Regions from separate parts of the Mus musculus genome. Here regions 2 and 3 are each reported to be linked to region 1. Evidence: microRNA targets listed by miRTarBase, many of them from high-throughput screens and not tested one by one. Region 1 holds a microRNA gene; each other region holds the end of a gene's coding sequence.
The links. The annotated mature microRNA mmu-miR-34a-5p reads UGGCAGUGUCUUAGCUGGUUGU and lies in region 1 at 1,326-1,347, shown strand. An mRNA with a match to its seed (bases 2 to 7 or 8) in the 3' UTR can be bound and repressed. Matches are read on the target gene's strand: a 7mer-m8 pairs with bases 2 to 8, a 7mer-A1 pairs with bases 2 to 7 and ends in A, and an 8mer does both.

Region 1 (4,225 bases):
CCGGAAGACATTTGCAGCCTCCAACTCTTCTGGCTCCACCCCGTTCCTAGGTGACCGCGGAGCCCCGGAGGAGTATGATAGATGTCATATTTAGAGTTGGACAACCCACAGTCTTGTACACAGACGACTTGTGGGTCTCCGTTAACCGCCGGCTACCTCAAAAGTCAGCTTCTCTGAGAGATGCACTAATCTGGATCCTTTTTGTTTACGGTGCTGGGGATGAAGCCCAACGTCCGGCACCTGTCAAGCAAGGGCTCCATCGACTGAACAAGTGAACGGCCCCAGCCCAGTCTCTGCATATTAAGGCAGCCAGCAGGGAATAGTGGTCAGTTTTCTGTGTAACTGGAGGCCTGGGGTCCACAGGCATCCACCCAAACACTGGCCTAGGTGTTGGTGTGAAGGACTCCAGCTTCCGGAGTCACTGCCCTGAAGTGAAGAGTACCCTCTACTCTCAGACAGTAGGTGGGCTTCAGCCATCCTGTTGAGGGACTATACTTCCTGCTGAGCCCAGTCTCAGCTCTGCAGGCCTGACCAGTCTCACTGGTTAACGGGGTTTGGTTGAGGGAAGGTCGCTGTTGTTTCACATCTCTTTGTTGGATTACTGGGGGTGGGGTGCATGTCATAGCGTGTGTGTGTGTGTGTGTGTGTGTGTGTGTGTGTGTGTGTGTGTGTTCTGGGATCTAACTCAGGTCCCCTTGCTTGGTAGCAAGTGCCTTTGCCTTTGCCCGCTGTCCTATCTCACTGGCTTAGTTTTATTTGTAAAGATTTGCTTGTTTGAATGTGTATACGTGTTTTGCCTGATGTGTATACACTGTGTGTGTGCCTGGTACCCCCGGAGGCCAGATGAGGGTGTCAGAGTCCCTGTAACTGGAGTTACAGGTGGTTGTGAGTCACCTTGCAGGTGCTCAGAATAGAACCTGGGTCCTCTGCAAGAGCAGACAGTGCTCTTAACCGCTGAGCCATCTCTTCAGCTTCCAGTTTTTACTTCAGTCTCACCATATTGCCCAGACTGGTCTTGAACTCCTAAACTCAAAGGAACCTCCTGACTCAGCCTCCTTGTGGAAGCCGGAAGGCATTCCTGAAGCCCTCCTGGTGGCGCTGTCCCTCCAGCTGAATCCCGACTAGTGCGCCCTTCGTGGGTGCTGGATGGGGAGGCACTGCTGTACCCTGCTGCTTCCCTCCTGTGCTAGCGTGCTGGCTTCCAAGTGCTGGAGGAGTGTGTCATACCTCGGTAGGGTCCACTACACATCTTTCTCCCGCAGCCTCTCCATCTTCCTGTGACTGCGGGCGCCTCAGCCTGGGCTGGCCAGCTGTGAGTAATTCTTTGGCAGTGTCTTAGCTGGTTGTTGTGAGTATTAGCTAAGGAAGCAATCAGCAAGTATACTGCCCTAGAAGTGCTGCACATTGTTGGGCCGAGAAGGAAAAGGTCAGAGGTCAGCAACGCCCACACCCCTGAGAGGCGCTGGACTTGCGGAGCTGCTCGACCATACTGGTGGGTATGGGATGCTGGGGAGGCTGGTGTTAGCACCCCACGGGGAGCATGTTTACGGGGGCTGAGTGTCAGGGGGAGGCACTGGGTCTGGAGTGTGAGCACTTCTGGCTAAGAGAAGTTTGCATGTCGGGGTACTAATTACAGCATGGAAGGAGACTGTATGATGTGTGTTGATCCTCCTAGCCAAACAGCCACCATCTTGGGGCATTCCGCTGTGCCCTCTTGCAAAAGGACTCTTCCTGCTGGGCTTGCTGGCTGTTTACACTTCTTGTGGAGGGCTGGGGACGGTCACAAGACCCTCACCTGAATGTCCAGCTGCCCCCTTCCACCTGCTCCATGCAACTCTGCCTGAAGCGCACGTGGCCTCAGAGAGGGGCTGAGCTCTGTAGTCTGGGTAAGCCCAGGCAGACCGCTGCTGTTGAGTGAAGGCTTTCTGCGTTTGGGCTGTTGGAGATCCAGGGTATACATCAAGGGTCTGCTGTGATCTGCTTCTTACAGACAGACAGACACACGGGTTCAAACAGAAAGGTAGCCGAGGACACAGGACATAGCAGGGGTGGAGTGCAGAAGTCTCCGGCTGGTGCCCCAGGGAATGGGCCCAGGGCTCAGAGCTGCCTTGCTGTTGAACCCACAGTGCCTCCTCTCATGAAGCGGGTTTCAAGTGCATCTCAGAAAACCTGGATGAGTTGATGGCTTACGTCCAGAATTCAAGAGGGCAACTGGTTTAGTAGCCTGACTACATAATGAGTTTGGGGCCATCCTGAGATACAATGTGAAAACCTCAAAAACACAAAAACAACCACCACCACCAGCAACAAAAATTGGTACAAGTTTCCCTTTTCAGTCAAAGCCCGGCCCAGGATGCTGATGGCTTTGAGGGGGTAACCTCTACCATTTGAGGTCGAACCTTAGACTGAAGATAGATACCCCTCTCTTCTTTCTCTTTCTGGGTTTTTTTTTCCAGTTATTTTTTGGGTTTTTTTTTTTTTTTTTTTTTTTTCGAGACAGGGTTTCTCTGTATAGCCCTGGCTGTCCTGGAGCTCACTTTGTATACCAGGCTGGCCTCGAACTCAGAAATCTGCCTGCCTCTGCCTCCCGAGTGCTGGGATTAAAGGCGTGCGCCACCACGCCCGGCTTTTTCCAGTTATTTTATTTCTTCTTATGTGTGCATTGGGGAGGTGCTCCAAGTGCCATGGCTCACGTGTGGAGGTCAGAGGTCAGCTATATGAAGTACGTTTTCTCCTTTCACCTTTATGTGGGTTTCATACCAGGTCTGCAGGCTGGTTAGGCTTGTGTGACAAGCATCTTTACCCACTGAACCATCCCGATGGCTCTCTGGTTTCTAGAGACGGGGTCTCACTGTGTGGCCCGGGGTTAGCCTGCAGCTTGTCATGCAGACCAGGCTGGCCTCACACTTGAAGCAATCCTCCTGTCTCAGCCTTCCAAGTACTGGGGTGGCAGGCTCATGTCACCACACCCGTCCCCCTCCCTTTCTCCTAATGTTGGTGTGTGTGTGTGTGCAGCCACATTCTTCAGCAAGCCCCTTCCCGCAGGAATTGCTCTCTCCCTAAGTAGACTCTGCACCGAGGGCTGCCTTTCCAGAGGGCCCCTTTGTAATGGGGCCTGGTGGGTGGACCATGTCCTGTGCCCACTCAACCACACACTCCGTTAGCTCCACAGCCCTGGGGAGCCAGGCGTGGGCTGAGTCAGGGCAGCTGACATGCCAGGAATGCTGAGCACTGACAGGAGGGTTCACAGTCCTCCAGGAGGATTGCCCGAAGCCGCACACACGAGAGAGCCTGCAAGCGCAGGCTTCACATTTTTTCAGTTTTCCTACAGTAGTCAAGAATGCCTGACCCTCCTCCCCTCAGCAATTGACTGGCCCTGGGCTTGTAAATTAAAGGGGCCATACTCTGGCTTCTCATGTGTATCAGCTTGAGTTTAAAGGGTATATAACTTTTATTTGCCTGCATGTCTGTCTGTCTGTCTGTGTGAGGGTGTTAGAAGCCCTGGAACTGGAGTTATAGACAGGTGTGACTTCAGCTCTTACTGGGTATTGAACCCATGTCCTCTTGAAGAGCACCCAGTGCTCTTAACTGCTGAGCCATCTCTTCAGCCCCAAGTGAAGTCATTTTCAAAAAATTTCTTTTCCAGTCCAGCTTGGCTTTTATTTGTGCCAGTAGAAGAACAAGAAAAAGTGTCCTCCTTAGAGAGAAGTCAGCTGTAAAAATGCCTGGGTTGTTAGTATTTAATTGAAGCCTCTGAGAGCAGGGGCAGGTGGATCTCTCCAAGTACAAGGCCCGCCTGACTGTGTGTAGCGTCAAACCTACCACAACTATATAGTGCTACATACATTGTCTAAAGAAGAAAGAAGAAAATTTAAACGCCTAGGTAATAAGAATTCAGAACTGGCAGCTGGGTGGGGTGGCTCATACCTATAATTCTAACATTTGAAGGGTTAGAGGCAGGAGGATCAGTTCAAAGCTGACGGGGTTGACACAAGCTAGCTCGAAACCAGAAAAGCGGGGCTGGAGAGGTGGCTTAGTGGATACTGCTTTTCCAGAAGACCTGGGTTCACTACTCAGCACCTTAGTGGTAGCTCAGCCGTTTGTAACTCCAGTACCAGGGGGATGTGACGCGCTCTGCTGTCCTCTATGGACATTGCGTGCTTGCGGTACACAAACACACATGCAGAGAAAACACCTAGGCATATAAAGTCGTAAAGTCATCATT
Region 2 (4,225 bases), not on the chromosome of region 1:
AACCATCTCCTAGACTCAAGACTCCCCATGGATTTATGCTATTTAGTTCATTTGTGCTGCTGCAATCGGATTGATTTTGCAGTTTTCTGAAGGTATATTCTGCTAGGTCACAGGGAAGATGACCAAGTTTGGTTGAGAAGTACTTCAAAGTATGCAAAGTATTCAAAGCCACATGATGAAGACATCAGTACCCCAGGGCAGTTGTGAGGCAAGGCTGAAACTCTGAGAGCTAGAAAGAGATGGATTATTTCATCTTAGATTCAGAAATGTTTCTAATGGGGGCAGTCTATGCATCTGAACTTATCTTTTGGATAAGACTTGTAATCATGCATTTAAGTCAGGGAAGGACATCTTAAGTCCGAGGGACCCGTGAGCTGAAGGGGAGGCTGGGGCATTTGCACAGTGTATACCTAACCTCCAGTGGAAGCCAAGATTTGTATGGATTCTAAATCTGCCCTTTGAGAGGGAGGAGGTGCCTGCACCCAACCCTCACGGAGTTGCCTCTCTTCTGGGCTTTTGAGCACTGACTCGTTTCTCGAGTGGATGACAGCTAACACTTGGCTTCTGCTGTCTCTTCAGTGTGAGAAGTGTAACCTGCACTTTCGTCACAAAAGCCAACTGCGACTTCATTTGCGCCAGAAGCACGGCGCCATCACCAACACCAAGGTGCAATACCGCGTGTCGGCCGCTGACCTGCCTCCGGAGCTCCCCAAAGCCTGCTGAATGAAGCATGGAGTGTTCCTCGCCCTTTCCTCTCCAGCCCCTTCTCAGAATCTACCCAAAGGATGCTGTAACACTTTATACAAAGGTCATCCCATGATGTAGTGCCTCTCTCATCCACTAGTGCAAATCATAGTTGGGGTGGGGGTGGGGGTGGGGTTTGCGGGACCGGGAGCCAAGGCAGCTCCCCTTCCCACACTGCCATAAAACATTAAGAAAATACTATTGCTTCTTCTCCTATGTGTAAGGCAAACCCTGTCAGCAAAAAGCAAATTCATTTTCTATATCAAAGTAGGGGAGAATGCAGAAGTTCTGACTTGACAGGTTGCAACCGAGGAATGTAAATGATGTGTGGGAACAGAGGTCTCTTTTGTATGTAAATGTGTATTGTTTTAAAAGACAAGACTTCAGTATGCTGTCAAAGAGAAGGCTTTAATTTTTTTAACCAAAGGTGAAGGAATATATGGCAGAGTTGTAAATATATAAATATATATATATATAATATAAATATATAAACCTAAAAAGATATATTGAAAATATAAAACTGTGTTAAAGGCTCGATTTTGTATCTGCAGGCAGACACGGATCTGAGAATCTTTATTGAGAAAGAGCACTTAAGAGACTATTTTAAGTATTGCGTCTGTATAAGTAAGAAAATATTTTGTCTAAAATGCCTCCGTGTATTTGTATTTTTTTGCAAGTGAAGGTTTACAAATTTACAAAGTGTGTATTAAAAACAAAAAGAACAAAAAAAAAAGCTGCAGAAGGAGAAATGTATACTTTTGTTCCAGTTTTCAGTTTGTACATACCTGTAATGTGTCCTCACGGTGCCTTTTTACACGGAAGTTTTCAATGATGGACGGGTGTGCGCCATCCCTTTTTGAAGTGTAGGCAGACACAGGGACTTGAAGTTGTCACTAACTAAACTCTCTTTGGGAATGTTTGACTCCTCCCACATTCTGCGTCATGCTTGTCGTTATAATTACTCCGGAGACAGGGTTTGGCTGTGTCTAAACTGCATTAGTGCGTTGTAAAATAGAGCTGTACAAAACATAAGAATAAAACATTGAAAAGTCGAGCTGGCTCTTTCTGAGGATCTGTCTTTGCATGGAGAGAGATCAGAGTGGTCTTTGCTTCGGTGGGAAATGTTCTAGGGGCGTGGGAGTGGGGCCCGCTGGCCAGTGAGGTATGAGAGAGGAGCTTGGCCTGAGAGCCAGACTGGGGCTTGTCCAGGTAGCTTCCTGCCTATTTTGATCCTGAACACCAGGATCAGCTACAGAGCCCAGACACTAGGCCTGGAGGTCAAGTAGGGTATCTGACCCAGCTCCAAGCCTCACTCTTAATAACTGCAGTCCTTGTTCTTTAGACACAAACGTCATAGTCTCTCCAACCTCTAACGAGTCATAGCCTCTCCCACCTCTGGGATTATTCTTTTCTAAAGTAAGAAGTCCCATCCTGGCTCTGGCTTTAGAAACATATTTTCTTTACTTGGCTACGCCTGGCAGGTCAAAGGCATCCGGCTGAAGCCACACACATCTCTCGGCATCCACGCATTCAGAGCCTCCTGGGTGACCGACAGACATTCACAGACTTGAAAGCTTTATGATTGGCCAGAGGCCAAGCAAGCCTCTACCCCAGTGTCAGAACTCAGCCACCTCCTCCTGTGTGCGTCAGGTCGCTATTTTTGCTGTGGGTCTCTGTCCCAGCCCATCCAAGAGTAGACTGGATTAACGAGACCATTTATGCATCCGTGATTCAGATGTAAGTTCACGCTGGCCTGCTTTGGCACCCGTGGATATTTTACCTCAGAAAACCCCAAGGACCAAGTATGATTGACAGGATCTGAGAACTGGGGAGACAAGTGTGGTTCTGGTAATGGGCCCAGAAGAGAAAGCCTGCGTCCCCTTCCTGTTCCTGGGTGGCAGTGGGGAGGGAACACGTGCCTACTTACTGGTCAGCTCCTGGCAGTGGTGTTGCTGCCGTCTCTGGGCACGTGTTGAGAAGCTAGGGGAGTTGCCCACCCGAAGTCCCAAGAGAGCTTCAGAAAGTCACGCCACCTTCTGCCAACCGCAAGGCCTTGCAGCTCGGGTTTCCTTTGAAAATGACTTTAAAGGACTTGCCAGCTCGAGGCCTCAACTCACCCTGCTCTTTGAAAAGGGGGAAACCGATCCCTCAGCTCCCATAGAAACCTGGCAGAAGAACTTACGGACTAGACAGCTTCAGGAATGACAATTCACGGGCCTGAGGGAAGCTGGCCTCAGGCTCCTTTTGCTCCCGAGAGTCTGTTTTTGTACCATTCCTATTTATGAGGGAGACGGAGGAGCAGACGGGGAGGGTGGCGTTCCGACAAAAGGGAGATCAAAGACTGAGCTACTGCAGTCAGCCGATGATTAATAATAAGTAAAAGGGAAACATCTCTAAACGGAGTTATTAAGAGTATAGCCCACAGCAAAGGGGAGAGAGAATTTTATTACAAAATCATGGAGTGAATGCATTTTCACACACAGACACACACAGACACAGACACACACACAGACAGACAGACACACACACACACACACACACACACACACACAAAGGTGTCTCAAACACTAGGATGTGTTTAAGACTCTCTGCATCATGGAAGTTTTTGAGGGAAAGGTTTACTAGGACCGCAGGTTGAAGTGTGTATTGAGGAAGGTGTATTAGCTTTGGCTTCCGTTCACTTTCTTTTGCTATAATAAAACACAGACCAAATGCAATTTGGGGAAGAAAGGGTTTATTGGGCTTACATTTCCTAACCACAGTCCACCACAGAAGGAAGTCGGGGCAGGAACTCAAGGCAGGAACCTGGTGCCAGGAACTGAAGCAGAGACCATGGAGGATCGCTGCTTGCTTGTGCACTGTGGCTTGCTCAGCTTCCGATCCAATCCTGGTCCATCTGCTCAGGACCCTCCCACATCAATTGTAAATCAGGAAACTGCCCCCCAGAAACTGTCAACAGGCCAGTCTGTGGCAGCATTCTCTCAGCTGAGGGTCCTACTTCCCAGATGACTCTAGCTAGAGTAGAGGTAGCACAGGTTTTGTTTGTCAGAACTCCCGTCTCAGCAAAGAAGGGTTGAAGTCTTTAAGCTCACAGTTTTGATGTCTTTAAGGTCACAACTTCAGGTGTTCCTGTCCATTGTCCTTGGCTCTGCTAACTCAACTTGTGATGAGACAGAATATCATGACAGACAGGAAGCAAAGAGAGAGAAAGAAGATGACACTGTCTCAAGGGCATGTGCTGAGTGACCTATCTCCTCCATATAGGTCTCACCTTCTAAAGTTTCCAGAACCTTCTAGAATAGTGCTACCACCTGAGGACAAGCATTTTAAAACAATTGCTTTTGGAGGGCTTGGGAGCTTGACTCTATACCTAAGCCACAGCAGCAGGCCTGTAGACCGGGTGAGTCCACACAAGCAGAGCTGTTAAGGAGCTGAAAGTGGCAGAGTGGCAAGAACTCTCTCATTAAGTGACTCTTCTGAC
Region 3 (4,213 bases), not on the chromosome of region 1:
CGGTAAGTACTATTACCAAGAACAGGGCCAAACCAAATCCCAGTGCTGTCTTGAGTCACACGGCTGCTCTGTATAGAGAAGCTCCTGTCTCCCCTCCTTTATGATCACTTCTGGCTTCCCAGCAATGTACTTAGATTTCTAAATCCTTGTGTCCCACATCTTCCAGCCAGGAAAATCAACCCATAGAGATCAGTGGAGCAATGATCCAGAGGAGAATTAACACCTATCTCTACCTTTATTTCAGATTGGGTTCTCTGTGGCCAGGAAGCAGCCTACATACTCAGTTCCAGTTCACCCCAACACATCTGGGGCTCCAAAGGCTCACTGTGGAAGTAGATTGTGACATGTTCCAGAACCTGACCGGCTACAGAAGTGTCCTTGTGGTGGCCCCTGAAGTTTCTGTTTAACTCCCAAACAACCCTCAACCGTCTAAAACTAGACATGCTCCAGAGGGGAATTCTGCCTACCAAGCAACAGACCAGTGGCCAAAAATCAGCTAGATTCACAGAAACCAAAATCCATTTTTTTTCCTTGTTTTTTGGTTATTTGGTTGGTTGGTTGGTTGGTATTTTTGAGACAGGGTTTCTCTATGTAGTGCTGTTGGTCCAGGAACTCACTCTGTAGATCACACTGGCCTTGAACTCAGAGATCCACCTGCCTCTGCCTCCCAAGTACTGGGATTAAAGGCGTGCGCCACCACTGCCTGGCTCCAAAATCCATTTGTATCAAGCCAACCTAAGGCAGTCAGAAACACTATTTGTCTTAGACTAAACTGCATAAGTGATAAAAACAAGCCTTTGAAAAGACACTCAGATAACTTCTCAAAGTATAATGAGATGTTCTGACTACCTTTTCAGAGTACATTCAGATTTGGGGTGTTCAGATGTTTCATACCATTTTATTGCTCGTTAACATATCCATTAACCTACAGGAATGAAAGACAACCTAATATTTAAATCTATTTCTGATGACATAGAACAATATTGACTAAAAATAGAATTTTCACATAATACTAAAATTACATTGATTAATTCTTTCCCTGGTGGCTATTGTAAAAGACCCAAAGATGAGTGGATAGAGCTATTATAACACATTAACATAGGACCTGAAAGAATAGACTAAACTTATCTATAGCTAGATCTTCATGAGTGCTGGTGTTTTCGGGGGACTCTATTCAGGTCATACACCACACCCCACTGCAGCTTTACCCTGCTTTCCAACATATGATCTTCTAGAGCAGTGGTTCTCAGCCTTCTAATGCTGAGGTCCATTAGTACAGTTCCTCGTATTTTGGTGACCCCCAACCATAAAATTATTTTGTTGCTACTTCATAATTATAATTTTGCTGTTGTTATGAATCATAATGTAAATATCTGATATTCAGGATATATGATATGTGACCATCAAAGGGTTTCGAAATCCATGGTTGAGAACTGTTGTTCTAGATGCACACAACATATAATTTCATAGCAATGTAGTTGGAAACAATGTATCAAATTTTTTGTCTAAATTATAAATTCATGCATTTTTTTGCTTTATAAAAGTGTGTTCACATTTGAGAATACATGTTATATTAAACAATGACAAGATGGGTTTGTATAAAGAAAACAAATCTTCTTAATAAAGTGGACAAAGCTAACAAATGAGCTGTGGTGGTTTGACTGAGAAATTCCCTAAAGGCTCATAAATGAAAACTCTTGGTCCCTAGTTAGTGGAACTGATTGAGAAGGATTGGGAGGTGTGGCTTGTTGGAGGAAGTGTGTTGCTGGTGGGTGGGCTTTGAAGTTTCAAAAGCCCAAGCCAGGCCCAGTGTCTCTCTTCCTGCAGCCTGTAGATTGAGATGTAAAACTCTCAGCTACTTCTCCGGGCCTATGTCTGCCTGAATGCTGCCATGCTCCTTGTCATGATGACTAATGGACTAAACCTCTGAAACTGTAAGCAAGCCCCAATTAAATGCTCTCTCTTATAAGAGTTGGTATGGTCATGGTGTTTCTGCACATCAATAAAACACTAAGACAGAAATTAGTACCAGGAGAGTGGGTTATTGCTGTGACAGACCAGACCATGATGATTTGGGGAGGATTATGGAAGGACTTTGAAACTTTGGGCTAGAAGTCATTGAGTGCTGAGGGCTCAGTAGGATGTTCTGTAAGGGCTTGGAAGATAAGATTATTGAAAGCAATGAAGACAGTGGAAAGTTTGTGAACTTTCAAAGGGAAGTAAAGACTCCATGGGGTCATATTGGGAAGAAGTCTGTGGTGTCTGCTCACCTGGAGCTGAAGAACTGGATCTGATTAACAAAAGAACAGAACCATTAAAGTAAAACCCTTGCTTTGCTGGGATAAGAGATGCTGGTCAGCTGGGGCTGAAGAATTAGCTGCGATTAAGAAGAGACCAGCTTCCTCAGAGTCAACACACAGAAGCTGTGTTCCAGGGGCAGCCATAGTTATGCCTTGTGCTGGCAGCCAGACTTGGTGATGTAAGTTACTCAAGTGGTGCTGTTTTTGAAGGTGTGAATGTGTCATGGGAGCAGCTGAGGCTTGGCAGTTTGTGGCAGGGTTAGAGTTCCTGAACTCAAATTAGAGTAAATCCCAGATATAGAACATGGATTTACTTGCACTGATGGAGTGTGGTTTTGCTTTGTTCAGATTGTGACTGTACCCTGGTTCTTCCATCTTGAAGTAAGAAAGTATTTAACTTATTTTTGATTTTACAGGAGCCCACAGTTTAGAAACTGAATTTAAAAAGAGATTTTAGGTTTTAAAATACACTTTTTAAGTCAGGGTCTTTCTGTGAGCTCTGGCTGTCCTGGAATATACTATGTAGACCAGGCTGGCATCGAACTCAGAAATCTACCTGTCTCTGCCACCCTAGTGCTTTGATTAAAGGTATATGCCAACATGCCTGGCTTATGATAGAAGATTTTAAATGACACTTCAGAGGACACATTAAATGACACATTTAATCACAGCAGGTTAGCAATTTATTGAGATCATTAAAATCTTAATAAAACAATATGCTTTACTGTAGTAAACTAGAGAACAAGTCAACTTCCTTAAAGATTTCCAAAAAACAGCTCAGAGCACAAGTTTATAGAAATTTGTGTCCAGCACAGAAGCATAGCACACTGTATGATTGGTGGATAACTGCAATCTCTCCTAGCCTGGAGTCTTGGTAACAATCTCTTCTTAAGGACAGAGGCTGCCTTTCTATCGAGCAAACACCCTGTCAAAGCTCCACTTCTAAAAGCAGACGTTAAAAAAACTTAAAAAATAAATAGGTAAAGCAGACACTGGATCGTGGGTGTGAGAGAGAGGGGAGAAAGAAGAGTAGGGATTGGAGGCTCACAGTTCAGCTGCACGCTGAGTGAGCGCCTTAATTCTGTTCATGCAATGGTCAACGGCATTAATGAGTAAAGGAATCCAGCTATCTCCTGGGTGGGGGCTCACGTGACTTGCTCTGGAATAAAACAGAAAAAAAAAAAAATCAAGTTAACACGGCGTGAAGGGAAAAGCATTCCCAGGAGGCACAGAGAAGAAACTACAGTAAGAGGGATTCCCCTTCACAGACTGGCTGCTCCACACCCCTACCCATACCCGCATGCTAATCTGAAATGGGGCAGAATAGCTGGGCAGATGATTTTAGTCTCAAAACACACAGGGAGAAGTCTTCATACTTACTTTGTAATTTCAAGAGCCTTTATTAAAACAGACACCAATTTCGCAGACTAGAAAAGGAACAGAGATAACATTCACTCTGAGCCATGGCACCAATAGAAAGGAGAACTTGAAGATACAATTAATGATGATAACAGAATCATTTAAAAAGAGCCTTAAAGTGGGTGGAGGAAATGTTTTGGTGCTCTAAAACCATGAAGACCTGAAGACCTACCTGAGTTTGAACTTCCAGCACTCATGTTTAAAAAAAAAAAAAAAAGCCTTGACTGATAAGGGCTGATGAGATGGCTCAGTGGGTAAGCACGCTGGCTGTCATGACAACCTGAGTATGATTCTTGGGACCCACATGATGGAAGGACTCCCACAAGCTATACTCAGGTCTCTACACATACAATGACATACAATGTGACTTACATATGCATACACAATCAATCAATCAATATATAGATGGATGAATGAATGAAGGAATGAATGAAATTTAAAATGCTGACTAGGTTCTTTTCTGTTTAACAAGATCTTAGGAACACCACTGGCAT

Region 2: the mRNA of Bcl6 is a reported target of mmu-miR-34a-5p. Seed matches in the 3' UTR shown: 8mer at 917-924.
Region 3: miRTarBase lists Epb42 as a target of mmu-miR-34a-5p. Seed matches in the 3' UTR shown: 7mer-m8 at 698-704.

Annotation. Positions count from the first base shown.
Region 1 is chr4:150,067,148-150,071,372 of GRCm38, forward strand. Mir34a (microRNA 34a) reads left to right here and starts at 1,307; the gene lies at 1,307-1,408.
Region 2 is chr16:23,962,623-23,966,847 of GRCm38, reverse strand. Bcl6 (B cell leukemia/lymphoma 6) reads left to right here. Exons shown (of 10, transcript NM_009744.4): 10 at 580-1,798. The coding sequence ends at 723. Among named protein-coding and RNA genes, the nearest start is that of Gm31527, 24 kb to the left of the region's middle.
Region 3 is chr2:121,015,645-121,019,857 of GRCm38, reverse strand. Epb42 (erythrocyte membrane protein band 4.2) reads left to right here. Exons shown (of 13, transcript NM_013513.3): 13 at 245-1,967. The coding sequence ends at 407. It overlaps Ccndbp1 (cyclin D-type binding-protein 1), which reads right to left. Exons shown (of 11, transcript NM_010761.2): 10 at 3,681-3,727; 11 at 2,946-3,459. The coding sequence ends at 3,345. Among named protein-coding and RNA genes, the nearest start is that of Ccndbp1, 9.3 kb to the right of the region's middle.